2 linked regions of the Rattus norvegicus genome follow. The protein of the gene in region 1 purifies or fractionates together with the protein of each later gene. This does not show direct contact. Links are inferred from orthologs where the notes say so. Each region holds a gene or a part of one and is shown on either strand. Other genes may lie near its edges.

Region 1 (3,812 bases):
GGGCTTCCAGTCCCTTGCAGCTGTTGTGGGCTCTCTTGTGTCTCTCACATTCTGCTTCTGCACCCACATACACTCTGAAGAGTGACATTGGCCTGCTAACTAGCCAGCTGTGGGGGACATGTTCTCGAGCCCCACCACCATTGCTTCCACATGCTTTTCTTAGCTGGGGGCCGGGGCAAGCCAAGGATTAAACTCAGCAGCAACAGGATGTGTATCTCCCATCCTTCTTCCTCTGTGGGCTGTTTGACCAGGCCAGTAGAGACAACCGTGACTATGACCTGAAGCCACGAGACTTTCCCATATATAGATCATGAAAATTCATGACTATTTAGACTCTGCCTATCCTGCAGCAGTTCAGGACTGGAGAGTATTTGAGTGGCAGGGGTGCGGAACCCACAGACTTGTCTGTGTGGTTGGGGAAGGATGCATTTGCCTGAGCTCTTTCATGGGTCTGAGCAGAGCTTCCTGATACACTGCAGACTGCCCTGAAAAAAAAATCTACTGTTCGACTGCAGCCTTCCACTGGGTCCTTGCTGGCCCTCTAGTTTTGATAGGAGGAGTCTCCTTCCTCCTTCATATGGAAGGTTTGTGTCCTCCTCAACTAGTCGGCAGAGCTGAGGGCCTCCTCTGCACATGTTTGGAAAACGGACAGAGACTCAGTAGATGACTCCTTTCAAATACTATGGTGTCTGGGGATAGGAAGTTGCCCATGCCATTCTTATTCCCACAGTGTGCATCCCACCCTGCAGCCATTCCACATTTTAATAAGTTTTAGGGTTTGGCTATTCATCCTTTAATTTGTTACAGTTGTGGGACCGTACGTCAAGAAGATCCTCTGTGAAGAACTTGGTGCCCCCGCAAACTCAGCTGTGAACTGTGTTCCCCTGGAGGATTTTGGAGGCCACCACCCTGACCCCAACCTCACCTACGCTGCTGACCTGGTGGAAACCATGAAGTCAGGAGAGCATGATTTCGGGGCTGCCTTTGATGGTGATGGGGTGTGTATAGGTACATTTAAATGGTTTCTCATGCAAGCTGGGCCTTGCAGACGCAGGGGGAAAATGGACAGTTTCTACCAGGCCATTGGAGCCTGCTGAGTAGCTCTCAAGAGCCCTTTGTTACACAGGAGGCCAGGGCCAAATGATTAAAAGACCCTCTTGAGCAGAAACAAAAGGCTTTGAAATATAACCAGTGCATTGGATTTCAGGCACTCGGATTTGCCGAGTGGGGGTGTAGGTCCCAGTTAGGATTTAATGACTATACTCCAGAAGCTGCAGGAGTTCTAGATACTGGCCCTAAGGTAGGTCTCAGCCAGGCCGATTGGTCATTTAATCTCTACAGAAGGTTCATCTTATAACATACCCGTGCATTTCATCTAATAACATACCCATGCATTTGTTAATACCAGCTGGATAGTGAAACTGTTTATAGCCAATGTAATGAGTACGTTAAGAGAGTCAACGTTCTGTTCTTTCCCTAAAATGAAAATTTCTCCTTACATTGGTAACCGTGTGACAACAAAGGAGATTGTGTAAGGTGCACATCCCTGTGTGTCACGGACAGTAAATGCTCTGTTTATTATGAGTTTTTATTTTTGCTGCTTCACCAGCTAGAAGCAACTGCTTCCTGAAAATTAATATTCCCTACATCAAGACTTAGGAGAACTGAAGGGGCTCAGAGCAGATGCTGTGTCACCAGGGATCTTCCGATGGAGTGCAGGATGTGCTGCCGTTTCCCCTCGAGTCTCAGGCGCTCGAGTGGCAGCACAGGAGGCACCTTGGAAGCGGCGAGGGTGGCGGCCTTTTTTTGGGGGGGGGTCCGGTAGCAATTGGAGGGAACCATGATTTAGAAGTCCTTCCTTGAAGAAGTCTGCCTTTGTTCCTCAGAGGATGCCCAGTAGACCTGTCAAACTGCATAAACAGCCAACATTTCCTCTCTTGTACATCCTTTCCCCTCCTCTGGGAGAGACATGATTGGTTCCAGAGTTTGGAGAGGTCTAGGAGGTTAAAGTTAGCGGCCCCAGGAGGGAGAACAGAGGGCTCAGCTCAAAGGCGGTTTGTGCTTGCATTTTAATTGAAACCAGTTTTAACTCTTGGGCACGGAGGTACCTTTGGACCCACAGTGTTACACAAAACCACCAAAAAAATCCCGTGTTTAAAGCCCAGTGTGAGTGTAGGACCCAGGTTGAATTTTGGAAAACTCCACAGATTATTGTCTCTCTTGTTTGCTGTCTGATTAAAAGGTCTTACATTGAACCTTTTTTCTTCCCCAGGATAGGAACATGATTCTGGGCAAGCACGGGTTCTTTGTGAACCCTTCTGACTCTGTGGCTGTCATCGCCGCCAACATCTTCAGCATTCCGTATTTCCAGCAGACTGGGGTCCGTGGCTTTGCCCGCAGCATGCCCACAAGTGGTGCTCTGGACCGGTAGGTCTCCATTCTTGGGCCCACCTGTCTCCCATCACACTGTTCTTCATTATGCCAGCACCGTGCCTGGAGCATGAGTCCTCCGCTTCCAGGATAAGCCTGTGGCTGCAGTCTTTCTTGAGTGAGGTATTTACAGGGTTAGCTCTCTTCTAAGGCCCATCAGCATCCTGCATTCCTCCAGCCTGGTCCTCGCCACACTGTGGTCTGTCAGGCTATCTGTCTGATGGCTCCACAGCTAGGCTGTCACCTCTACAGAGAAAGTACTGTCCTTTTTTTCACCATCTTAATTCTGCGTGGCAGTGTTCCCAAATAGGATGCACACAGTAAGTAAACGAACGCTAGAGATAAATGAATGGTACTTTCTTTGTAGTCAAGATGTTATTCTTGATCTATGCAGGGTCCCTTTTGTTGAGCAGTGTGCACACACCATGATTAAAAAAGTATTTTGAGGGCCCTGGAGAGATGGCTCAGCAGTTAAGAAGAACACTATTCTTCCAGAGGACCAGGGTTCGATCCCTAGCACCTCCATGGTGGCTCATAACCATATATAATTTCAGTCTCCTCTTCTGGCCTCTGAGAGCACTGCACACATGTGGCATATAGGTATATGCAGTCAAAACAGCCAAACACATGAAATGCATCTTTAAAGAGTCATTTAAAGTGACTTCAGACTTTAATCAGAACTGATTCCTCTTGCAGGCTTAAATGCAGTGATGCCTCATTTGTCCAAACACTAAAGCAGAAAGTTCAATAGGGAAAATACATGCCCTTGCATGGATCTTGCAACAGAAGATCCGTGGCAGTAAACAGTATCAGAATTTCTTACACGTTTGTTCTCTTGGGCATTTTTTCATTTATAAAAGGAGACTTGTGAGGCCCATGGAAAATGATTAAAAGTGAAAGGTCTAAGTAACAAACAGGGGATGCTTTAGAACATATCAGGACCTCAGGGATCTTCTGCTGAGTTAACAGTGAGGAGTGAATGAGTAAAAGGCCATGGGTGTGGGAAGGGAAGAGTGTATTGATTCAGGTACTTACAAGACTGGCTAGGCTTAAGGAGGGTCCCTTGGCCAGGACAGTAGATATTTTACATATTTGATTAAGTCATTCAATTCTTATTAAATGCTGTCAATAACCCCACTGTATTAGTGCATGTCCAAGGTCAAGAAGGCTGATTAAATTCAGCCAGCTAGGGAGCAGCTACGTCAGGGTAGCTGGATAATGAAACTATTCAGAGTTAATATAATAGTGTGCTAAGAGGATTAGCTTTTTATTCTTTCCCTAAAATGAAGATTTTGTATATAAATTTCTCCTTACATTGGTAACCGTGTGAAAACAAGGGAGATTGTCTAAGGTCCACATCCCCCTGTGTCACAGACAGTAAA
Region 2 (3,912 bases), about 56 Mb from region 1:
GGGTACCCCAAATGGCCCAGTTGACAACTGTCAACACTGTGTATATTATATACTGGAGTCCTCGTGGGTCTCCATAAAATCAGTGAAGGGTCCACTGTGTTGCCCTTGGGGCCCATCCAGACCAGAGAGCAAGTCACTGAACAGCCTTGGGACTGAAATGAGGCTGCAGAACTCATGGGCAGGCCCCGGGACCCTGAGCAAGCCCTAAACTGTTTTCAGGACCTGCATCACTTGCCGTGAAGTCTGGGCTGGCCTTGAACTTGCAATCCTGCCTCTACATCCTGAATGCTGGGTTATAAGCATAGTCACCATGCCTGGCTCAGTCTCTATTATAAGCACAGTACACATGTCATTGCTCAGCAAGCAGAGGCAAGTACCACTACAATCCCCATTGTACAGATGAGGAAACTGAGGCACACAAAGTTTAATAATTGCACACCATGGTGAAATGAGCATTTAGCCCCAGGCAGCTGAGTACTCCCACCCTCGGGCTAAGCAGCCCCGTTCAGTAGTGAAAACAACCTTCAATGGAAATGTTATCCCCATTATGTGCCTGAAGAAATAGGGGCGGGAGTGCAGATTAGGGCTCGGATGTCATCTCATGGTCAAATAGTTCGAAAGGGTTAGAGCCAAGATCCAGACTCAGTCCCATCTACCTGCAAACCTTGGACTTACCCATGACCCAGCATACCTGGTCCCTGACTCGCTCAGGAACTGTTTCCAGACCGTCAGCAGGTTAAAATATCATCACAATCCAGGGAATCATCCTAAGTGTTAAAGCTATAATGTCGGGATTCAGACCCTCTTGCTTAGCCTCCTGAGAGCACGCAGGTCAGGCTTGGCTTAGAATTCTGTGTGTTTAACCAGAAGCCTCTGTCTGGGATAGTTTGGCTAAGATAGCCCTCACAGGGCTATCAGGGCTTTCTCCTTTCCTCACTCTGACAGCATAGTCAGAGACATATCCATAGCCGCTCACACAGGTGCCCTCTTCAGTATGCCTTTCACTCCAGGCTCTTAGGGATGCTTGACAGTCTCGAGACCTTGTCACTCTTGAAAGCACACACACCCAAGAAGGCTCTTGAAGCCCTACACTCAACCCACACAAATAAAGGGCCTCTTTCCCCGGACACCCAAATCTGCAGAGCGCCAGCCCCAGCCACACTGGATGGATTAGGGTCCGGACTCGGCCCAGCCCCCAGCGCTGGCCCCGCCCCCAACGCCGGCCCCGCCCACACTTCCGTCGCCTTTTGCTAGGCTAGGTTGGTTAATGTTTGCAGCTGCGGGTCTTGTGAAACCCGCGCGACTCATGAAGGTGTTCGTCACTGGCCCTTTGCCGGCCCAGGGCAGGGCTGCGCTCGCCCAGGCCACAGAGTAAGCGCCCGCGTCGGCGTGGGGTCTGCAGCTGAGCCCCTGGCACGCTGTCCAGTCCACCCAACCTCAGACACCCCTGCAGCCGCGCTGGGTAGATCGTGAGTCTCCAGACACACGGCTGGGGCTTCCGGAGCTGTCCCAGGACTGGGGGCTACCTTCCAAGAGCCGGGCGCCTGGCAGGCAGGCTAAGTGGAGCCAGGATCGGGGAGGGTGGCGCTGGCGCTTGGGGGCTTTGCTCAGGAGTTGCCAGCTGTGTCCTCAAGGGGCTGGCTTGGAGTTTGGGGCCGCCTTAGAGAAAATTCTCCGGGTGGCGGCTTGCTCCTGGCTCCAGGATATTGGTCTCCAGCCTTCAGTGAAGTGAGATTGCCTAAGAGGCAAGGTTCAGGCCGTGAATTTTACCCTCTGAGATTAGCTGGCAGGCAGGAGTGTTTAGGGACTATGGCAGCCATTGGCTTGCCTCCTTGGATACTGGATGGGGCCGTTTGCGTTTGATGATTGTGCTCTGAATCTTTGAATGATTGTTTATTGAATCTTATCTGGAGCTGTGAACACAGACTTTCAGTCCTTCCAACACTGTGAAGTCAGCTTTAGAAGTTCTCTATCACCGACTTGAGAACACAGGGCCCCAGGGTCACTGAGCTCCAGGCGGCAGACCTGGCCTTTATGCTCAGTCCTTTCCCACTGCCGGTTTAGCCACTTTGTCTTGACAGCTTTGCATTACGGTGCCAGTTTGGGTGGAGGTGAGAGCACTCAGCAGTCAGTTTTTGTTTGCTTGTTTGTTTGTTTGTTTTCTGTTTTTCAAGACAGGATTTCTCTGTGTTGCACCCTTGCCTGTCCTGAAACTTGCTTTTTGACCAGGCTGCCCTCGAACTTACAGAGATAGGTCTGCCACTGCCTTTAGAGTGCTGGGATTAAATTCTGATGGTTTGGGGAATGTGATTTGTTTTGAAGATTTTCTAGCACAATACAGTTTTTCCTAAGGACTTGTTTTGTTGGTACTTTTGGTCCTGAGGAGCTGAGACGAATGGACCTGGGGACTTGCCAGCCACTGTCCAGTGTCTCCTGTGTACACACACCAGGACCGCTCTGGATTCAGTGGAAGGGTTTGGAGGAGCACCTCACACTTTGGGCTGCTAAGGAAGCACACTCAAGTGCTCCCATGGCCAGGGGAGCCTTCAGCTCTTGTCAACTTTCCCCACTTTGGTAGCCCTTCAGCCCCTCCTCCAGCTACACTCCAGACAGTTCTGAGCCTCCCCACGAGTGACCTTAACTCTGGCTAGCCTAAGGCCATAGCACGTGGAAGCCCATGTTTGCCAGCCATGCACACTGTAGGACCCTCTACATTCTTTGAGTGGCTTCCCTTTCCTTCAGCTGTGAGGTAGAGCAGTGGAATTCGGATGATCCCATCCCCAGCAAGGATCTGGAGCAAGGCGTGGCGGGGGCCTATGGCTTGCTCTGCCGCCTCAGTGACCGCGTGGACAAGAAACTTCTGGATGCTGCGGGTATGTGCTGAGTCGGCCTGAGCCAACGTTCTGAGGGGGGTCGTGCCGGGTGAGCACACCAGCCTGCTGTAACTGGCCTTTGAGCTTGTCTGTAGTGTTTTCCCTGTCTTCTAAGGGCGCCCCCAGCAGTAGCTCCAGTTGACATATGTTGTCCCCGATCTGGTTTGTAAGATCCTGGGAGGCTCCAAGAGGGCAAAGACCATGTGATACCTGGGTGGGAGTAGAGGTTGGAGGGTGGAGAAGGGAGGGTATCCTGGGCTCTGAACCTCTCTGCTGTGCCACGGCCTTGCTTTGTGACCTTGAGATCTCTCTGGGCCTGTGTGCTGCAGGACAGGGGGCCCAGCACTGTCTGTGCTGAGCACTGATAGGTACCCAGGATGGGTGCGCACAGCAGTGGCCCCAGGTCTCATTCCTGGGTAGAGTGAACATCGTCCTGTAAGTTGTACTGTGTCAGTTTAAGGAACACTTCAGACCCTAGGCTGCCAGATTCGGTGCAGAACCACTCTCACCCTGGCCTTAACCAGACAGATACTTAGTGGAGGAGAGCACAGGATACAGTCACACCCCAGCCACCTCAGCACTTCAAGTGTCGGTGGGGAGAGGCTTTTGGTGTGGCTAAAGGGGACCCACAACCACTGGTGGGTGAGAGTTAAGAGCCCTGAAAAGGCGTGAAGAATGTTCAGCAACTGGGACAGAACTCTACCTGAGCTCCTATAGTCAGTGGCAAAGTAGATCAACTTAATACTAGGGACAGGGATAGCAGCTTCCTCCCCTCATTTAAGAAATGATAAGTCGGTATTCCTAAGACCAACCCCAGAACGTGGCTTTGGGTTCCTCGAGGACAGACATGTGTTTTCTGCACAACAGGAGCCAACCTCAGAGTCATCAGCACCCTGTCTGTGGGGGTTGACCACTTGGCTTTAGATGAGATCAAGAAACGGTGAGTACAGCTGGGACTCTGGACAGGGAGGGCCTGCCTTGGGGAGGCTGCGCCAGAGGAGCTCTCCCCTTGCCTGGTGTCATGTGCTTCCGTGAGAGT

Evidence for each region.
Region 2: the proteins of Pgm1 (region 1) and Grhpr fractionate together in Homo sapiens (co-fractionation; 3 studies listed by BioGRID). This does not show direct contact. The link is inferred for Rattus norvegicus from reciprocal best matches to the Homo sapiens genes PGM1 and GRHPR.

Annotation. Positions count from the first base shown.
Region 1 is NC_086023.1:119,744,930-119,748,741, forward strand, and holds part of Pgm1 (phosphoglucomutase-1), read left to right. Parts: intron 1-807; coding exon 808-998; intron 999-2,272; coding exon 2,273-2,427; intron 2,428-3,812. UniProt on the Homo sapiens protein: Catalyzes the reversible isomerization of alpha-D-glucose 1-phosphate to alpha-D-glucose 6-phosphate. The mechanism proceeds via the intermediate compound alpha-D-glucose 1,6-bisphosphate.
Region 2 is NC_086023.1:64,028,626-64,032,537, forward strand, and holds the start of Grhpr (glyoxylate reductase/hydroxypyruvate reductase), read left to right. Parts: upstream 1-1,230; 5' UTR 1,231-1,267; coding exon 1,268-1,371; exon of another isoform or gene 1,372-1,551; intron 1,552-2,742; coding exon 2,743-2,873; intron 2,874-3,740; coding exon 3,741-3,813; intron 3,814-3,912. UniProt on the Homo sapiens protein: Enzyme with hydroxy-pyruvate reductase, glyoxylate reductase and D-glycerate dehydrogenase enzymatic activities. Reduces hydroxypyruvate to D-glycerate, glyoxylate to glycolate, oxidizes D-glycerate to hydroxypyruvate.